3 linked regions of the Saccharomyces cerevisiae S288C genome follow. The protein of the gene in region 2 purifies or fractionates together with the protein of the main gene of each other region. This does not show direct contact. Each region holds a gene or a part of one and is shown on either strand. Other genes may lie near its edges.

Region 1 (3,923 bases), on a different chromosome or scaffold from region 2:
ATCTAATATCATGAGTCAAAATGAAAGGAAAAATGTTCGAAGAAAGTATAGGCTAAAGTGACATAAGTTAATCGAAAAAAAAATATTCAAAGTTTAATTCTTGTTTACTAAATGAAAAAAATATTTCACTGTTTAAAGATATGTCTATAGGTGTAGTAATTAATGTTCAGAGTTTTGCTAATCAAACGAAAAAATGACTCTTTACGCTGCTATTAATGTCATTTAAATACCATAAACAGTTTACCGTTTTGACTTTTCACTTTTTTTTTGGGTGTCTTCTTTCCCCTGAAAAATTGAAAAACTAAAATTCCATTAATTGTCACCTTATGTTTTGTGTAAGCAAGTGAAGAGAATGAGAGCAATACGTGGCCATTTTCCATTTGAGTTATATATATGCATAGATAATTTTATCTCACGTACGTAAATACACATTTCGATTAGTAACAGATTTAAAATCAAAACCGGATCTGAGATAATCCGACACTTACTCGAAAATCTCTTCATTTAGCTTGCAAACCGTGCATGATTTCCTCTTTTGTAATTAAATGGCCTATTGTTTCTATATGTTCTAATAGTTCGTCAACATTATGTGACCATTCGTTCAATAATTGGCTTGAGTTTTTTGGTTTTTCAAAATTCACGATTTTGGCTGGGCGATTAACTTTAGCGTATATGATGCCCTGGTTTACCAAATCACTGATGTATGTTTCCGTCTGGCTCTCCGTTAGGTCCAGCAATTCATTCAATCTTAGTAAAGTAATTCTGGAATAGTATTCGGAAATGACTCTTAAATTGTGCTCGATGACCCTTTTTTGTAAATCTTCCCAGTGATGCTTATTAGCTTCTCCACCAAATGCCAAATCATCCTCATTTAAGACGGGCTCATAGGTTTTTTGAACAATTGGCCATCTCATCAACTCATTCGTAGTAAACAATTTTACTAAAGATTCTTGGCTTTCTAATTTTTTCAGGTTGTTATCATTCTGGATTTTGTGAATTAAATCATTTTGTAAATTGCCGTAAGGTGAAAGGACTAAGAAATATACAATGTGCGATAAAACAGGTTTCCACTTAGCCTCATCTGATTTAATGGCGTCTGTTTGATAAATTTCTTGCAGATACTGCGCAACTTCTAGGTATTCTCTCTTGTGCAAACTAATTTTTACCAGAAGATTATAATATTCTAGCTTCAATGACTCGTATTTTGGATTTTTAAAAGTTTTTTTCAGAATTTTTCTTGAAAGCACCGTGGCTTGGGAATAATCACCTTTTAATATACTCAATTCCATTTGCTCTAATATAAACTGAATTTTCTCAGACATTTCCATGGAGCCATAGGTCTCAACCTGTAACTCACACAAGATGTCTGCAGCTTCATCAATCTTACCCTCTTCTTTCTTAATTTCCACCAAATCTTTGGTGACCCTAGCTCTTTCCACTTCTACAAATATTTTGTTCTCTGTAACCACCCTGATAGTTTCAATGACACTAATTCTGGTGTTTAAATCCAAAGATTTCGAGCTTTTCAAATATTCCATAACCTTTTGTATCATATACTGAATTGACAATTTCAACTGACCATGCTTTTTTGAGAGTAGAGTCAATTGCTCATTTAGGTCGTCCCACTTATTCCTTGATGCTAGCAGATCTACAATCTTGGCCAAAACTTCTTTCGAGGAGGCCAGATCTGAAGCTTGTCTGGTTTTCTTCTCCAACACTAACAGTTGGTCTAAAGCAGAGTTACAATCATTTTGAGCGAGCGAATCGATCTTAGGAAACTCTTCCTTCAAAATTTGGCTATAATCCTTGTCAGCCTTAATTGGTGCATCTCTTGACATCTTTCTCTACGTTTACTCTAGCAACAAAAATGGTAGTGAGCCCAGCAGTATATTCCTCTACTCTCTTAATTCAAGATTATCTCTGATGTAGTGTCCTGTTATGGTTTTTCCTTGGATTCCCCTTTGCATTTTGCCACCGAAAAGTCAAAAAGATCACATACAAGACGGGTAATATTGGGGCGATGAGCCGTACAGAACGAGTGAAAAATTTTAGGATTTATTAGGAATAATAATGATAATTTAGAGATGAGCATTTAGCGAGAAGCATCTGAAGGTTGCACTAATTATTACTGTAAATAGTACAGTTGAGAAGCAAATAAAAGGGAAGATCAAATACATGGCCGGTTCACAACTTAAGAATTTAAAGGCCGCCTTGAAGGCCCGTGGACTCACAGGTCAAACAAACGTCAAAAGTAAGAATAAAAAGAATTCCAAAAGACAAGCGAAGGAGTATGATCGTGAAGAAAAAAAAAAGGCCATTGCTGAAATCAGAGAAGAGTTTAATCCGTTTGAAATAAAGGCTGCAAGGAATAAGAGGAGAGATGGTCTGCCTTCTAAAACTGCTGATCGTATTGCTGTGGGTAAGCCTGGTATCTCTAAACAGATCGGTGAAGAACAAAGAAAGCGTGCATTTGAAGCAAGAAAAATGATGAAGAATAAACGTGGTGGTGTGATCGATAAGAGATTTGGTGAAAGAGACAAGTTGTTGACGGAAGAAGAAAAAATGTTGGAACGTTTCACCAGAGAAAGACAAAGCCAATCAAAGAGAAACGCAAATTTATTCAATCTTGAAGACGATGAAGACGACGGTGACATGTTTGGAGACGGTCTTACACATTTAGGTCAATCGCTGTCCCTAGAAGATGAGCTTGCCAATGATGAAGAGGATTTTTTAGCTTCCAAACGATTCAATGAAGATGATGCTGAGCTACAGCAACCTCAAAGAAAAAAAACCAAAGCTGAAGTCATGAAAGAGGTCATTGCCAAATCAAAATTTTACAAACAAGAAAGACAAAAGGCTCAAGGTATAATGGAAGATCAAATAGATAATCTGGATGATAATTTCGAGGATGTTATGTCTGAATTGATGATGACGCAACCCAAGAAGAATCCAATGGAACCTAAGACCGATCTAGATAAGGAGTATGATATCAAAGTGAAAGAACTACAATTGGACAAAAGAGCTGCACCCTCTGATAGAACTAAAACTGAAGAGGAGAAAAACGCTGAAGCTGAAGAAAAAAAACGGGAGTTGGAACAACAGCGTCTTGATCGTATGAACGGTATGATTGAATTAGAAGAAGGCGAAGAAAGAGGAGTAGAGGATTTGGATGATGGATTCTGGGAAAATGAAGAAGACTATGAAGACGATAATGACGGTATTGCTGATTCTGATGATGATATCAAATTTGAAGATCAAGGCAGAGATGAAGGGTTTTCTCAAATTTTAAAGAAAAAGAACATTTCCATTTCATGCCCTAGAACTCATGATGCGTTATTAGATCAAGTAAAAAAATTAGACTTAGATGATCATCCTAAGATTGTTAAGAATATTATCAAAGCTTACCAACCAAAATTGGCTGAAGGTAATAAGGAAAAGTTAGGAAAATTCACCGCTGTTTTACTGAGACACATCATTTTTCTAAGCAATCAAAACTACCTTAAAAACGTTCAAAGTTTTAAACGTACACAAAATGCATTGATCTCAATTCTAAAATCCCTTTCAGAGAAATATAATAGAGAGCTTTCCGAGGAGTGTAGAGATTATATCAATGAAATGCAAGCACGCTATAAAAAGAACCATTTTGATGCTCTATCAAATGGTGATCTGGTATTTTTTTCCATTATTGGTATTCTTTTCTCCACCTCGGACCAGTACCATTTAGTAATAACTCCAGCATTGATTTTAATGAGCCAGTTCCTGGAACAAATCAAGTTTAATTCTTTAAAGAGGATAGCTTTTGGCGCTGTCTTGGTAAGGATTGTTTCACAATATCAACGCATTTCCAAACGGTACATACCGGAGGTGGTTTACTTCTTTCAAAAAATATTACTCACTTTTATAGTTGAGAAAGAAAATCAAGA
Region 2 (8,163 bases):
CCCTGAAGAAAGTGCATGGATTTGGCCCATGGATGAAGAGACGAAACTATATTTCGATGTAAATGAAAAAATTAGATTCAGAATCGAAAGAGAAGTTTTTGTTGATGTGAAGCCAAAATCACCCAAAGAACGAGAATTGGAGGAAAGAGCTCAATTAGAGAATGAGATTGAGGGTAAGAATGAAGAAACTCCTCAAAACGAAAAACCTCCAGCATATGCCCTATTAGGTAGTTGTCAAACTGATGGCATGGGACTCGTTAGTTGGTGGGAATGATAGATAAGGACGCCACTGACTTCAATAAAACATTTAATAATAATAGTAACAGTAATAATGAGGATAATAATATATAATAAACGTGAATTTTCTTTAGCATTATATACGCTAATTCTTTCTCTATTTGAGGGGATACTCTCGTATCCTTTTTATCTCGATAGTTGTAGTTGTACTTGTTGTTTTTATTAACCCTTCTCATAATATATAATAAAAAAGTACATTGACGTCAATTATATTGCATATAACGCGATGTGGAACTAAACTTCTTGTATCCGCTAATAACTTTATCAACAGCCTTCAGGAAATCCTTTTCAGTAGCCACCTTTCTTCTTGCTCTAATGGCAAACATACCGGCTTCTGTGCAAACAGATCTTAATTCTGCACCGGTAGAGTTTGGACACAGTCTGGAGATAAGTTCCCATCTGATGCCACGTTCCACACTCATTGATTTAGAGTGAATACGGAAGATATTTGCACGACCTTCCAAGTCAGGTAATGAAAACTCTACCTTACGATCAATTCTACCGGGTCTCAATAAAGCTGGATCTAAAGTGTTGGGCCTATTGGTGGCAAACATCACTTTAATGTTACCACGAGGGTCAAACCCGTCTAACTGTGTAATCAGTTCTAACATAGTTCTTTGAACTTCATTATCACCACCAGCACCATCATCAAAACGAGCACCACCAACAGCGTCGATTTCATCGAAGAATATAATGCAAGCCTTTTTGGTACGAGCCATTTCAAATAATTCTCTAACCATACGAGCACCTTCACCGACATATTTTTGCACTAGCTCAGACCCAATGACCCTAATAAAAGTTGCATCAGTTCTATTAGCAACAGCACGAGCACATAATGTCTTACCAGTACCAGGTGGCCCATATAATAAGATACCCTTTGGTGGATCAATACCAAGAGTAGCAAATCTTTCTGGAGATAATAAGGGCAGCTCGACAACTTCTCTCAGCTTTTCAATTTGGTCTTTACAGCCACCGACATCGCTATAAGTAACGTCAGGCTTTTCTTCAACGGTCATCATAGTAACTGATGGGTCAATCCTTGGAGGCAATGGAAGTTCAATATTATATTTCGACCTATCGACACCTACACGCATACCTTCTTCTATATCTGTTGGAGAAACACGTTCACCTAATCCGACGACAAATTTGGCAATTTGCTTAAGATTTATCACGTACTTGGCATCTTCATCGTCTTCGTCTGCATCAGTAGACTGTTGATTGCTATTACTATTGCTATTGCCGCTGTTATTATTATCTGTCGTAGTTTCGTCACTTTCACCATTCCCCTTAATGATCTTCGTGCAACGAGCGACTTGTAAGGGATGTTCTTCGCCCAGTCTCTGCCTATCACCCATAATATCCCATAGATGGGAGGGTGCTAACCCTGTATCGCTTTCTTTCACACCGGCCTTTTCTTTGATTCTCGCTTCAATGTCTTTTAAGTCATTCTCAGTTTGCTTTAATTTGGCTGCGTATGGAGCTGCACCGTATGATTTTAAGACTTGAATGTCACCTTCTGTTAAGGGTACGATCTTGTCATCATCAGGTTTTTTATCATCGTCTTCCAAAGGTGCCTTGTATTTTTCCCAGTCTTCTTTTGGTGGCATTCCGTATAGTTCCTAACTTCCTTGATTTATTACGATGGTTCAAAAAAATATCTCAATTGAATATTGCTTTGAATTCTCATCTCCTTGGAAAATACTGTATATACCCAGTTCTTTGTATAGTAAGCTGCATGCTAGTTTAGTTTTCGGGTGGCAAAATTCGGTAATCCTATTCACTATACCTTTTCCTCTCGTCCGGGTAAACTCAGCCATACCAAATTGACAAGGATAGTACATTTATGCTAATCATAATTAAAACAAGGTATGTGTGTTCCAGATGCATATAGATAACGAGTCATATATAAATATATATATATGTGTCTGTACATGATGTACTCGGTCAAAAATGGCGGATTACTGGCTCCACATTTTAATCGTCTGCCATGACGTGTAGGCCATGACAGCAACTCCAAATACTATGACGATTAAATCTAAAAGAAGCCTGGCTCTCGAGGTTCCAGATAAGATGGACGCCTTATAGTGCAACAATGGCGGGTATATGTAGATCAATGGGATACACGCGAAGGAGCCTACCAGTGATACAAATTTGTCCAAATCGTTGGCGCCTACCCAAGCGAGGATAGATGTCAGGACGACAATAGCGCAACGGAAATAGTTTTTCAACCATTTGACTTTCGGGTTGTATTTACCAGATGCATTTGAGGGAAAAGTCCAGTTTTCCAAAATACGTATCGCGGGAAATAGCTGCAACGGCGTGGATAACAAAATGGCTAATGCATACAGTAATTGAACAGTGAGAGTATAGGAAGTGTCCTGCGGAAAATTCAATAAAACAACAGTTTTCACGTCAGATCCAAAAGCGGCATAGCATAAGAGACCACATGATATGAAAATCACTGCCACGATACACATCACCGCGGACAACGATGGCCGGAAATGCTTCGGGTGTTTCATTGACTCCTGAATGGGGATAAGTAGGCCTATACCTTCAAAGGTGAATATGGCGGTACCGATGAACAACGACCAGTCCGCTTTATTGAACATAAGCATTGTATCGGATGCGACACCATTAACAGCAATATAATAAATGGAGTAAACGTAAACATAAACCAATCCCAGTAGAATAAATAGATCTGCTATTAACGCGGTCCCACTTAACTTGGCTATGTTTCTTGTCAAAGATAGTGGGACAAAGATGAGTACTTGTGCAAAGATATAGGTGGCTAGACTGATGCTGCCCGGTTTCAAATGGAAGAAATTTTCAGAAAAGACCTGCAAATTAGTTGCAGTGAAAACAGTGTATGCAGCAGAAAACCCGATTTGTGACAAGGCGATAGACGAAAGAATGGCAAATTTCATTTTGGGCCCATATAGTATACGACCCATGTCACCGTACCCATCTACGCCTACTTTGTCCTTGGTGGTAATCAATGATACGAAACATCCATAAGAAATGAGGGCACACGAGAGTAGACAAAGGGCGCTAAATCCCCAACCACCGTTATGGAAAGCCTTTGGTAGGAAAAGCACACCTGTCCCAACAAATGACTTTAACAAGAGCAGCACCGCCTTTACCGTAGATGATTTGTGAGGATGGCGCCCGTGTTCACGAGAAACTAGCTGGGTGCTTTCCGTTTCCAAAGCTTCCTCCTCTGGCTCCTCTTCAGTTTCTTCCTCCTCCTCCTCTTCTTCCGATAAATCTTCACCAGCGAAGTGGCCATACAAGGTCAAAAATTCAATAAAGTTCCTGGTGAAAAAATTCGGTATGGGCGCATCAACGTTATGTTTCCTGCGCTTCTGTATTATAAAAGATCTTCTGAATCCACCAGGAGCCCTGATTTCTTCGTGCGTCATCGGTGCGGGCGCCAGGCCTATTGCCGCTAGAGGATTCCCATTCGCCTCCGAGTTGTTGTTAAGGTGAGAGGAAGATGCTATAGAAGCGGCAGAAAAGCTCATAGACCTTTTACGATTCGAGAATGAGGGCGCTTGTGAAGGTATTGAGGTGGAAAGTGCAGGTTGACTTGGGTACTGATACTGCGATGGTGATGAAGGATGGTCGTTTGTCCACTTATACAGATCTCTTGTAATGTCTCCGCCTTGCAATTGTAGGCTGTTACTCGGGTTTCTTATCAAGTGGCGTGCCACGGCATCTACCACATGTGGCTCAGGGTTATTTATGCTCACTTCAAGCGTGCCATTGTTACAGGAAGTGTGCGACGCGTCGGGTACGCTAGCATGCACCGCTTCATTGTTCACAAGCAGCGGCGGCTTTTTTAGCAAACCACCTGTAGTTCCACTAGATTTTCTACTTCTGCTTCTACTTCTACTATTACCGTTGCTATTGCCACCGTTGCCGTCCGTTAAAGGTGAGCCAGACGCATGCGAGATTCCTGTACTGCCTCCGTTGTTATTTTTTTTGTTGTTGTTGCTCTGCGTTCTTCCAGAGCCACTTGAAACCTCTTTTCCATTCATATCCGCGATGCAATCCCTTATACGCTTCTTAATAAACTTTGCTTCCCACTCTTTCACTACTGACCATCGATCCTTCTTATTTCATAGCCTCACGAGCACAAATGATAATACGAGAAAAAGGCCCGACCGGGTAACCAACCCTTTTACTATCTCTCGCTCTACCTTTAGTAATAATGTCGTCTATATAAGGATTTACTCATACAGTAGTCCAAAATATACCTTTCCGTGCTAAAAGTAGCTCCCAAAAGTAGCGGAGGTGAGGATCATCCTCTATTGCCAGGTACCAAGCTCGCTGGAAAGTCGTTATGGAGTCACGGCTTTGAGGGCGGGGGTGGACCAATCACAGCGCAGAACGCGGCGCCGAGCAAGCGCTGGACCAAGGGATCCGGGCCTCTTCTATTGGTTGTTTGTTTGCTCAAACCCGTTATATATTCAGGCATCCTCGACTCTAACCTTTTGCCACGTCGAGGCGGCTTGAAGCTTAAATAGCACTAATAAACTAGTAGACACATTATAACTAACCAGTAGTATACTTTGCACTTTCGATATTCTTTTCACTAATCTCCTCCCCAACCCCTTATTGAAGATAAAAAGAAAGAAAGAAAGAAAGAAAAAAATCCAATTTCATAGTACGAAGAAGAACGAGAATAAAGATGCTATCGCTAAAAAAATCAGCGCTCTCCAAGTTGACTTTGCTCAGAAACACAAGAACATTTACATCGTCAGCTTTGGTGCGCCAAACGCAGGGCTCTGTAAACGGTTCCGCGTCCAGATCTGCAGACGGGAAGTACCACATAATAGATCACGAGTATGACTGTGTGGTAATCGGTGCCGGTGGTGCCGGCCTTAGAGCGGCCTTTGGTCTTGCCGAGGCGGGCTACAAGACTGCTTGTATATCCAAGCTTTTCCCCACCAGATCCCACACTGTTGCTGCTCAGGGTGGTATCAATGCCGCTCTGGGAAATATGCACAAGGATAACTGGAAATGGCATATGTACGATACTGTGAAAGGATCTGATTGGCTAGGTGACCAGGACTCCATCCATTACATGACCAGGGAAGCGCCCAAATCGATCATTGAACTGGAACACTATGGTGTTCCTTTTTCAAGAACTGAAAACGGTAAGATCTACCAAAGAGCCTTTGGTGGTCAGACCAAGGAGTACGGTAAGGGTGCTCAGGCCTATAGAACATGCGCTGTCGCAGACAGGACAGGACATGCTCTTTTACACACGCTTTATGGCCAAGCTTTAAGACATGACACACATTTCTTTATTGAGTACTTTGCCCTCGATCTGTTGACCCATAATGGCGAGGTCGTTGGTGTCATCGCTTATAATCAGGAAGACGGTACCATCCACAGATTCAGAGCACACAAGACCATTATTGCCACTGGTGGCTATGGTAGAGCATACTTCTCTTGTACCTCTGCTCACACATGTACGGGTGACGGTAATGCCATGGTTTCGCGTGCTGGTTTCCCCTTGCAAGATTTAGAGTTTGTTCAATTCCATCCTTCAGGTATATATGGGTCTGGTTGCTTAATCACTGAAGGTGCTCGTGGTGAAGGTGGTTTTTTGGTTAATTCTGAAGGTGAAAGATTCATGGAACGTTACGCTCCTACGGCCAAGGATCTAGCTTGTAGAGATGTCGTTTCCAGAGCAATCACCATGGAGATCAGAGAAGGCAGAGGTGTTGGTAAGAAAAAGGACCACATGTACTTACAATTGAGCCATCTACCTCCGGAAGTTCTAAAGGAAAGATTGCCAGGTATCTCTGAAACAGCAGCCATTTTTGCTGGTGTAGACGTCACCAAGGAACCTATTCCCATTATTCCTACCGTCCACTATAACATGGGTGGTATTCCCACGAAGTGGAATGGTGAGGCATTAACCATTGATGAAGAAACTGGCGAAGACAAGGTTATTCCCGGTTTAATGGCTTGTGGTGAAGCCGCTTGTGTTTCTGTCCATGGTGCCAATAGATTAGGTGCCAATTCCTTGTTGGATCTTGTTGTCTTTGGTCGTGCTGTTGCCCATACGGTTGCTGACACTTTACAGCCTGGGTTGCCACACAAACCACTACCTTCTGATTTGGGTAAAGAATCCATCGCAAACTTGGATAAACTAAGAAATGCTAATGGTTCAAGATCTACGGCAGAAATTAGAATGAATATGAAACAAACTATGCAAAAGGATGTTTCCGTCTTTAGAACACAATCATCTTTAGATGAAGGTGTTCGGAACATTACTGCAGTAGAGAAGACCTTTGATGATGTGAAGACGACCGATAGATCAATGATCTGGAATTCTGACTTGGTTGAAACTCTGGAGCTACAGAACTTATTAACCTGTGCCTCCCAAACAGCTGTTTCCGCTGCTAATAGAAAGGAATCCCGTGGTGCTCATGCAAGAGAGGATTATCCAAATAGAGATGACGAACATTGGATGAAGCATACATTATCCTGGCAAAAGGACGTCGCTGCCCCAGTGACTTTGAAATACAGAAGGGTTATCGATCACACTTTGGACGAAAAGGAATGTCCTTCCGTACCTCCAACTGTAAGAGCCTACTAATTTGAACCTCATTGTATTTTACGGAAAAGAATATCATACTCTTCTTTAATTGCACTTTTTTTGTGCGTTTGCACTTTTTTACCACTGACTCACTAATTTGTATATATACCTATTAATATACATTTACATAAAGTTTCTTCTTATACATACTCTATTTATTTAGTTATTTATTAACTTACTATTTATTTATTTATTTATTTATTTATTTATTACTTTCAATTTTTTATCGAGGCATTTCCTTAGTTCTCCAATTTTTTTTCTCATTAGCCAGATGTGTGTTTTTCTGGCCCTCACAAAAAATGAGCAGGAGAAAGTCATATGGCGAACGTAAATATGTAACTAAAAATTAAGATGGGCAGACATTTATCATTTTGCTTATGACTAAATTGCGAATTGCTGTACAAGGGTGCTGTCATGGTCAGCTAAACCAAATTTATAAAGAAGTGTCACGAATCCATGCGAAGACTCCCATCGATCTATTAATTATTCTTGGAGATTTTCAAAGTATTCGTGATGGTCAGGATTTTAAGTCAATAGCCATACCACCAAAATATCAAAGACTCGGTGATTTCATATCATACTACAATAATGAGATTGAAGCCCCAGTCCCTACTATTTTTATTGGCGGTAATCATGAATCGATGAGACATTTAATGCTTCTGCCACATGGTGGTTATGTAGCAAAGAACATTTTTTATATGGGATACTCTAACGTTATATGGTTTAAAGGCATAAGGATAGGTTCATTGAGCGGGATATGGAAAGAGTGGGATTTCAATAAGCAACGACCAGATTGGAATGACCTAGAAAATAACAATTGGAAAGCTAACATAAGAAATCTGTATCATGTAAGAATTTCTGATATTGCTCCTCTTTTTATGATCAAGCATCGTATTGATATTATGCTGAGCCACGATTGGCCCAATGGAGTCGTTTATCATGGCGATACTAAGCACTTGTTGAAGCTTAAGCCTTTTTTTGAGCAAGATATTAAAGAGGGAAAACTAGGCAGCCCAGTGACCTGGCAACTACTAAGAGATTTGCGGCCTCAATGGTGGTTGAGCGCCCATTTGCATGTCAGGTTCATGGCCTCCATTAAGCATAATAAAAGAAGCCACGAACCGCCTAATAAGTCAACTTCAAAGACAAAAAAAAACAATAATGAAATAGATTTGGATTTATCCAGTGACGAGGACGAAAGGTCTGGTATTATGAATTGCCAAGAAGAGAATGAGTATGATTCCAAATACGGC
Region 3 (4,336 bases), on a different chromosome or scaffold from region 2:
AAAATGGAGGAAAAAAAAAAAGACGAAATCCAAAAGGCTAAGGAAACGGGTAACCCGTGGTACCCGGGGCAGAATCAAACTTATAATTACTAAAGATATACCATATATTACGATCCCTGCGCCCGGCGTGCTCCACATTAAGTAAATGTCTGGAGTAAAATGAAGTCCGCCAATTCAGTCACAAAACATGACTACTGCCTCGTTCGCGATTTCTTCTTCCCTTACTTCATCATGTTCAAGCCCCCTCAGCTGCGCCCAAATGATTCTTCTTATCCTCTTGCATACTGCACCGAAAAAAAAAGTTAATAAGCAGCAGGATTTATAGGCGCGTGCGTGCAGCCTTAGACTGAAGGGGTGGAAAAACTTTAGGTAGGTTTGGTTCTCACTACCCAAAGAGCAATCGATAGGTATAAAAGTGAGCAATTGCTATCACAGCGAGCCTTATTGTTACAGCACAAATCACGCGTATTTTCAAGCAAATATCATGGGTCTCTGCGCATCTTCAGAAAAGAACGGCAGCACTCCTGACACGCAGACCGCCAGCGCTGGTAGTGACAACGTTGGCAAAGCGAAGGTACCACCAAAGCAGGAGCCACAGAAGACTGTGAGAACAGTCAACACAGCAAATCAACAAGAAAAGCAACAACAGAGGCAGCAGCAGCCGTCTCCGCATAATGTTAAGGACCGCAAGGAGCAAAACGGGAGCATTAATAACGCGATATCTCCCACGGCTACGGCAAATACAAGCGGATCGCAACAGATCAATATCGACTCTGCCCTGAGAGACAGGTCGAGTAACGTTGCAGCACAACCATCATTGTCGGACGCTTCAAGTGGCAGCAACGACAAAGAACTGAAAGTGCTACTGCTGGGTGCCGGTGAAAGTGGTAAGTCCACGGTATTGCAGCAGTTGAAGATTTTACACCAGAACGGGTTTAGCGAGCAGGAAATTAAAGAGTACATCCCCTTGATCTATCAGAATCTATTGGAAATTGGCAGGAACCTCATCCAGGCGAGAACAAGGTTTAACGTCAACTTGGAACCGGAGTGTGAACTGACGCAACAAGACCTGTCGAGAACCATGTCCTATGAAATGCCCAATAACTACACGGGCCAATTCCCGGAAGATATCGCGGGCGTAATATCTACGTTGTGGGCCTTGCCCTCAACACAAGATTTAGTCAATGGGCCTAACGCATCGAAGTTCTATCTAATGGACTCGACTCCTTACTTCATGGAAAATTTCACCAGGATCACTTCGCCCAATTACAGACCCACCCAGCAGGACATATTAAGATCGAGACAGATGACGTCAGGGATTTTTGACACCGTCATTGATATGGGGTCGGATATCAAGATGCATATTTACGACGTGGGTGGACAGCGTTCCGAAAGAAAAAAATGGATACACTGCTTCGACAATGTCACTCTGGTCATATTTTGCGTTTCTCTATCGGAGTACGACCAGACGCTGATGGAGGACAAGAACCAGAACAGGTTTCAGGAATCGCTGGTGCTTTTCGATAATATTGTCAACAGTAGATGGTTCGCGCGCACGTCTGTCGTACTCTTTCTGAATAAAATCGACCTTTTTGCTGAAAAACTAAGCAAAGTGCCTATGGAAAATTACTTCCCAGACTACACCGGCGGGTCAGACATCAACAAGGCTGCTAAGTACATACTCTGGAGGTTTGTTCAGTTAAACAGGGCGAATCTAAGCATATATCCTCACGTGACACAGGCCACAGACACGTCGAATATAAGATTAGTATTTGCCGCCATCAAAGAAACAATTTTGGAAAATACATTGAAAGACTCTGGAGTGTTACAATGAATGCACAGCTAAAACAGAGACAAAACTGCATGCCTCTTCTCCCCTTTATTATCACCTTTAAAAAAGATAAAAAAAGAAACTGGAAAAAAGGTAAAAAAAAAAAAAAAATTAAATAAATACGAATACGTTTTCTCATGACCATTGTACTAGTAATCACAACCATGATACTTGAATAACTTTTCTGTTTTGTGCTGTATTAAGCACAACCGTTATTTTTTAATTTATAGCGTTATACCACTATATTATTGTAGTCATTATAGTTATTATCCCGGGTAACAAAAATTTCATTCCAACGAGGTAATAGTTCCACTTTTCAGGCAGGAGGACGAAAAACATTTGCCACCCAAGAAAGAGACAAAGCAGTAGGTAAGGCATTCATCACACAATTTGAAAGGGGGTATAGTAAAAAAAATTCAATTGAGCAAATAGAATGGCTAGCACTGCAGTAATGATGGACGTGGATTCTTCCGGGGTCAATGACTTGCACCATTCTGAGAAGAAATATGCGGAAGAAGATCAGGTTCAGGAACTATTGAAAGTTTTGAATGAGATCTCCAAGACCACTTTAACGCTGGACCCAAGATATATATGGAGGAGTTTAAAGGACTTGAGCTCTTTAAGGAACCAGGAGCTTTTGAATGCGGAAACTTTATGTTTCACAGTGAATGTGCTGTACCCTGATTCTTCTTCATTCAAGAAGAATCTGCTGAAGTTCATTACTTCTAACCATAAATCGTCCGTACCGGGGTCAGCTGAGCTTAGAAACTCATATCCAGCCTCTTTTTATTCCGTAAACACTGAGAAAAAGACCATTGAAGTGACAGCTGAAATTAATTGCTTCATGCATCTACTAGTCCAGTTGTTTTTATGGGACAGTAAAGAATTAGAACAATTGGTAGAGTTTAATAGGAAGGTTGTTATCCCAAATTTATTGTGTTATTACAATTTGCGTTCCTTGAATTTAATCAACGCTAAGTTATGGTTCTACATCTACTTGAGTCATGAAACGTTAGCGCGCAGCTCCGAGGAGATTAACAGCGACAACCAAAATATAATCTTAAGGTCCACGATGATGAAGTTTTTGAAAATCGCTTCCCTGAAGCACGACAACGAAACCAAAGCCATGCTGATTAACTTGATCTTGAGAGATTTTTTGAATAATGGCGAGGTTGATAGCGCGTCTGATTTCATTTCTAAACTAGAATATCCTCACACAGACGTTTCCAGTTCATTGGAGGCAAGATATTTCTTCTATTTATCGAAAATTAACGCCATTCAACTGGATTATTCCACTGCGAACGAGTACATTATTGCAGCCATAAGAAAAGCCCCACATAATTCCAAGAGTTTAGGGTTCTTACAGCAATCAAACAAACTGCATTGTTGTATTCAATTACTCATGGGTGATATTCCAGAATTATCATTTTTCCATCAATCAAATATGCAGAAATCTCTCCTTCCTTATTACCATTTGACCAAAGCCGTTAAATTAGGTGACTTGAAAAAATTCACATCTACAATCACAAAGTATAAGCAGTTGCTATTGAAGGATGACACCTATCAACTCTGTGTTAGATTAAGATCTAATGTTATCAAGACAGGTATCAGGATCATCTCCTTAACGTATAAAAAAATTTCATTAAGAGATATTTGTTTGAAACTGAATTTGGATTCGGAGCAAACTGTAGAATACATGGTTTCAAGGGCTATTAGAGATGGTGTTATTGAAGCCAAGATTAATCACGAGGATGGCTTTATCGAAACCACAGAATTACTAAACATTTATGATAGTGAAGATCCTCAGCAAGTATTTGATGAAAGAATCAAATTTGCCAACCAATTACATGATGAATACCTTGTTTCAATGAGGTACCCTGAGGATAAAAAGACTCAACAAAATGAGAAAAGTGAAAATGGTGAAAATGATGATGATACGCTAGATGGTGATTTGATGGATGACATGTCTGATATCTCGGATCTCGACGATTTGGGATTCTTATAAGGGCGCATAAAAAATAAATAACTACCATTCATAACAGAAATTCATTCGTATATACATAAAGTTCTCATAAACGTATATATATATATATATATATACTTATTGATATCAAAGTGTGTTACTTTCTACATTCATAGACGGGGAAGAAAAGTGAGGAAAAGTTGTTTTCTCTTGTGCACTGCAGCCCTTTGAAAAAGTAGAACTGCAGAAAAAATAACTGAACGTAAAGCATTATTTACTTTTCAAAGGCAAAAGAGATAGAGCCAAAAAAATTGTAAGCAGCTTAAAAGCCATAATGACAACGGAAGATCCAGATTCAAATCACTTAAGTTCCGAAACTGGCATTAAATTGGCATTGGACCCGAACTTAATTACATTGGCACTAAGTTCTAATCCAAACTCTAGCCTTCATTCACCAACGTCTGATGAACCCGTACCTGAATCTGCAGGAAAAGCAGATACTAGTATTCGACTAGAAGGTGATGAGTTAGAGAATAAAACTA

Evidence for each region. The genes of interacting proteins can lie anywhere in the genome.
Region 1: the proteins of RPT1 (region 2) and RPN5 purify together in Saccharomyces cerevisiae (affinity purification with mass spectrometry; 7 studies listed by BioGRID, with this or other methods). This does not show direct contact.
Region 3: the proteins of RPT1 (region 2) and RPN3 purify together in Saccharomyces cerevisiae (affinity purification with mass spectrometry; 5 studies listed by BioGRID, with this or other methods). This does not show direct contact.

The regions. Positions count from the first base shown.
Region 1 is NC_001136.10:188,839-192,761, reverse strand, and holds RPN5 (proteasome regulatory particle lid subunit RPN5), read right to left. Parts: upstream 1,839-3,923; coding exon 501-1,838; downstream 1-500. Other genes in the region: LDB17 (Ldb17p), read right to left, coding at 1-12; snoRNA-binding rRNA-processing protein NOP14, read left to right, coding at 2,176-3,923. UniProt on the Saccharomyces cerevisiae protein: Acts as a regulatory subunit of the 26S proteasome which is involved in the ATP-dependent degradation of ubiquitinated proteins.
Region 2 is NC_001143.9:167,954-176,116, reverse strand, and holds RPT1 (proteasome regulatory particle base subunit RPT1), read right to left. Parts: upstream 1,905-8,163; coding exon 501-1,904; downstream 1-500. Other genes in the region: DNA-directed RNA polymerase III subunit RPC25, read left to right, coding at 1-274; AVT3 (Avt3p), read right to left, coding at 2,256-4,334; succinate dehydrogenase flavoprotein subunit SDH1, read left to right, coding at 4,988-6,910; DBR1 (RNA lariat debranching enzyme), read left to right, coding at 7,288-8,163. UniProt on the Saccharomyces cerevisiae protein: The 26S proteasome is involved in the ATP-dependent degradation of ubiquitinated proteins. The regulatory (or ATPase) complex confers ATP dependency and substrate specificity to the 26S complex.
Region 3 is NC_001137.3:194,684-199,019, forward strand, and holds RPN3 (proteasome regulatory particle lid subunit RPN3), read left to right. Parts: upstream 1-2,264; coding exon 2,265-3,836; downstream 3,837-4,336. Other genes in the region: GPA2 (guanine nucleotide-binding protein subunit alpha), read left to right, coding at 485-1,834; SRB4 (Srb4p), read left to right, coding at 4,129-4,336. UniProt on the Saccharomyces cerevisiae protein: Acts as a regulatory subunit of the 26S proteasome which is involved in the ATP-dependent degradation of ubiquitinated proteins.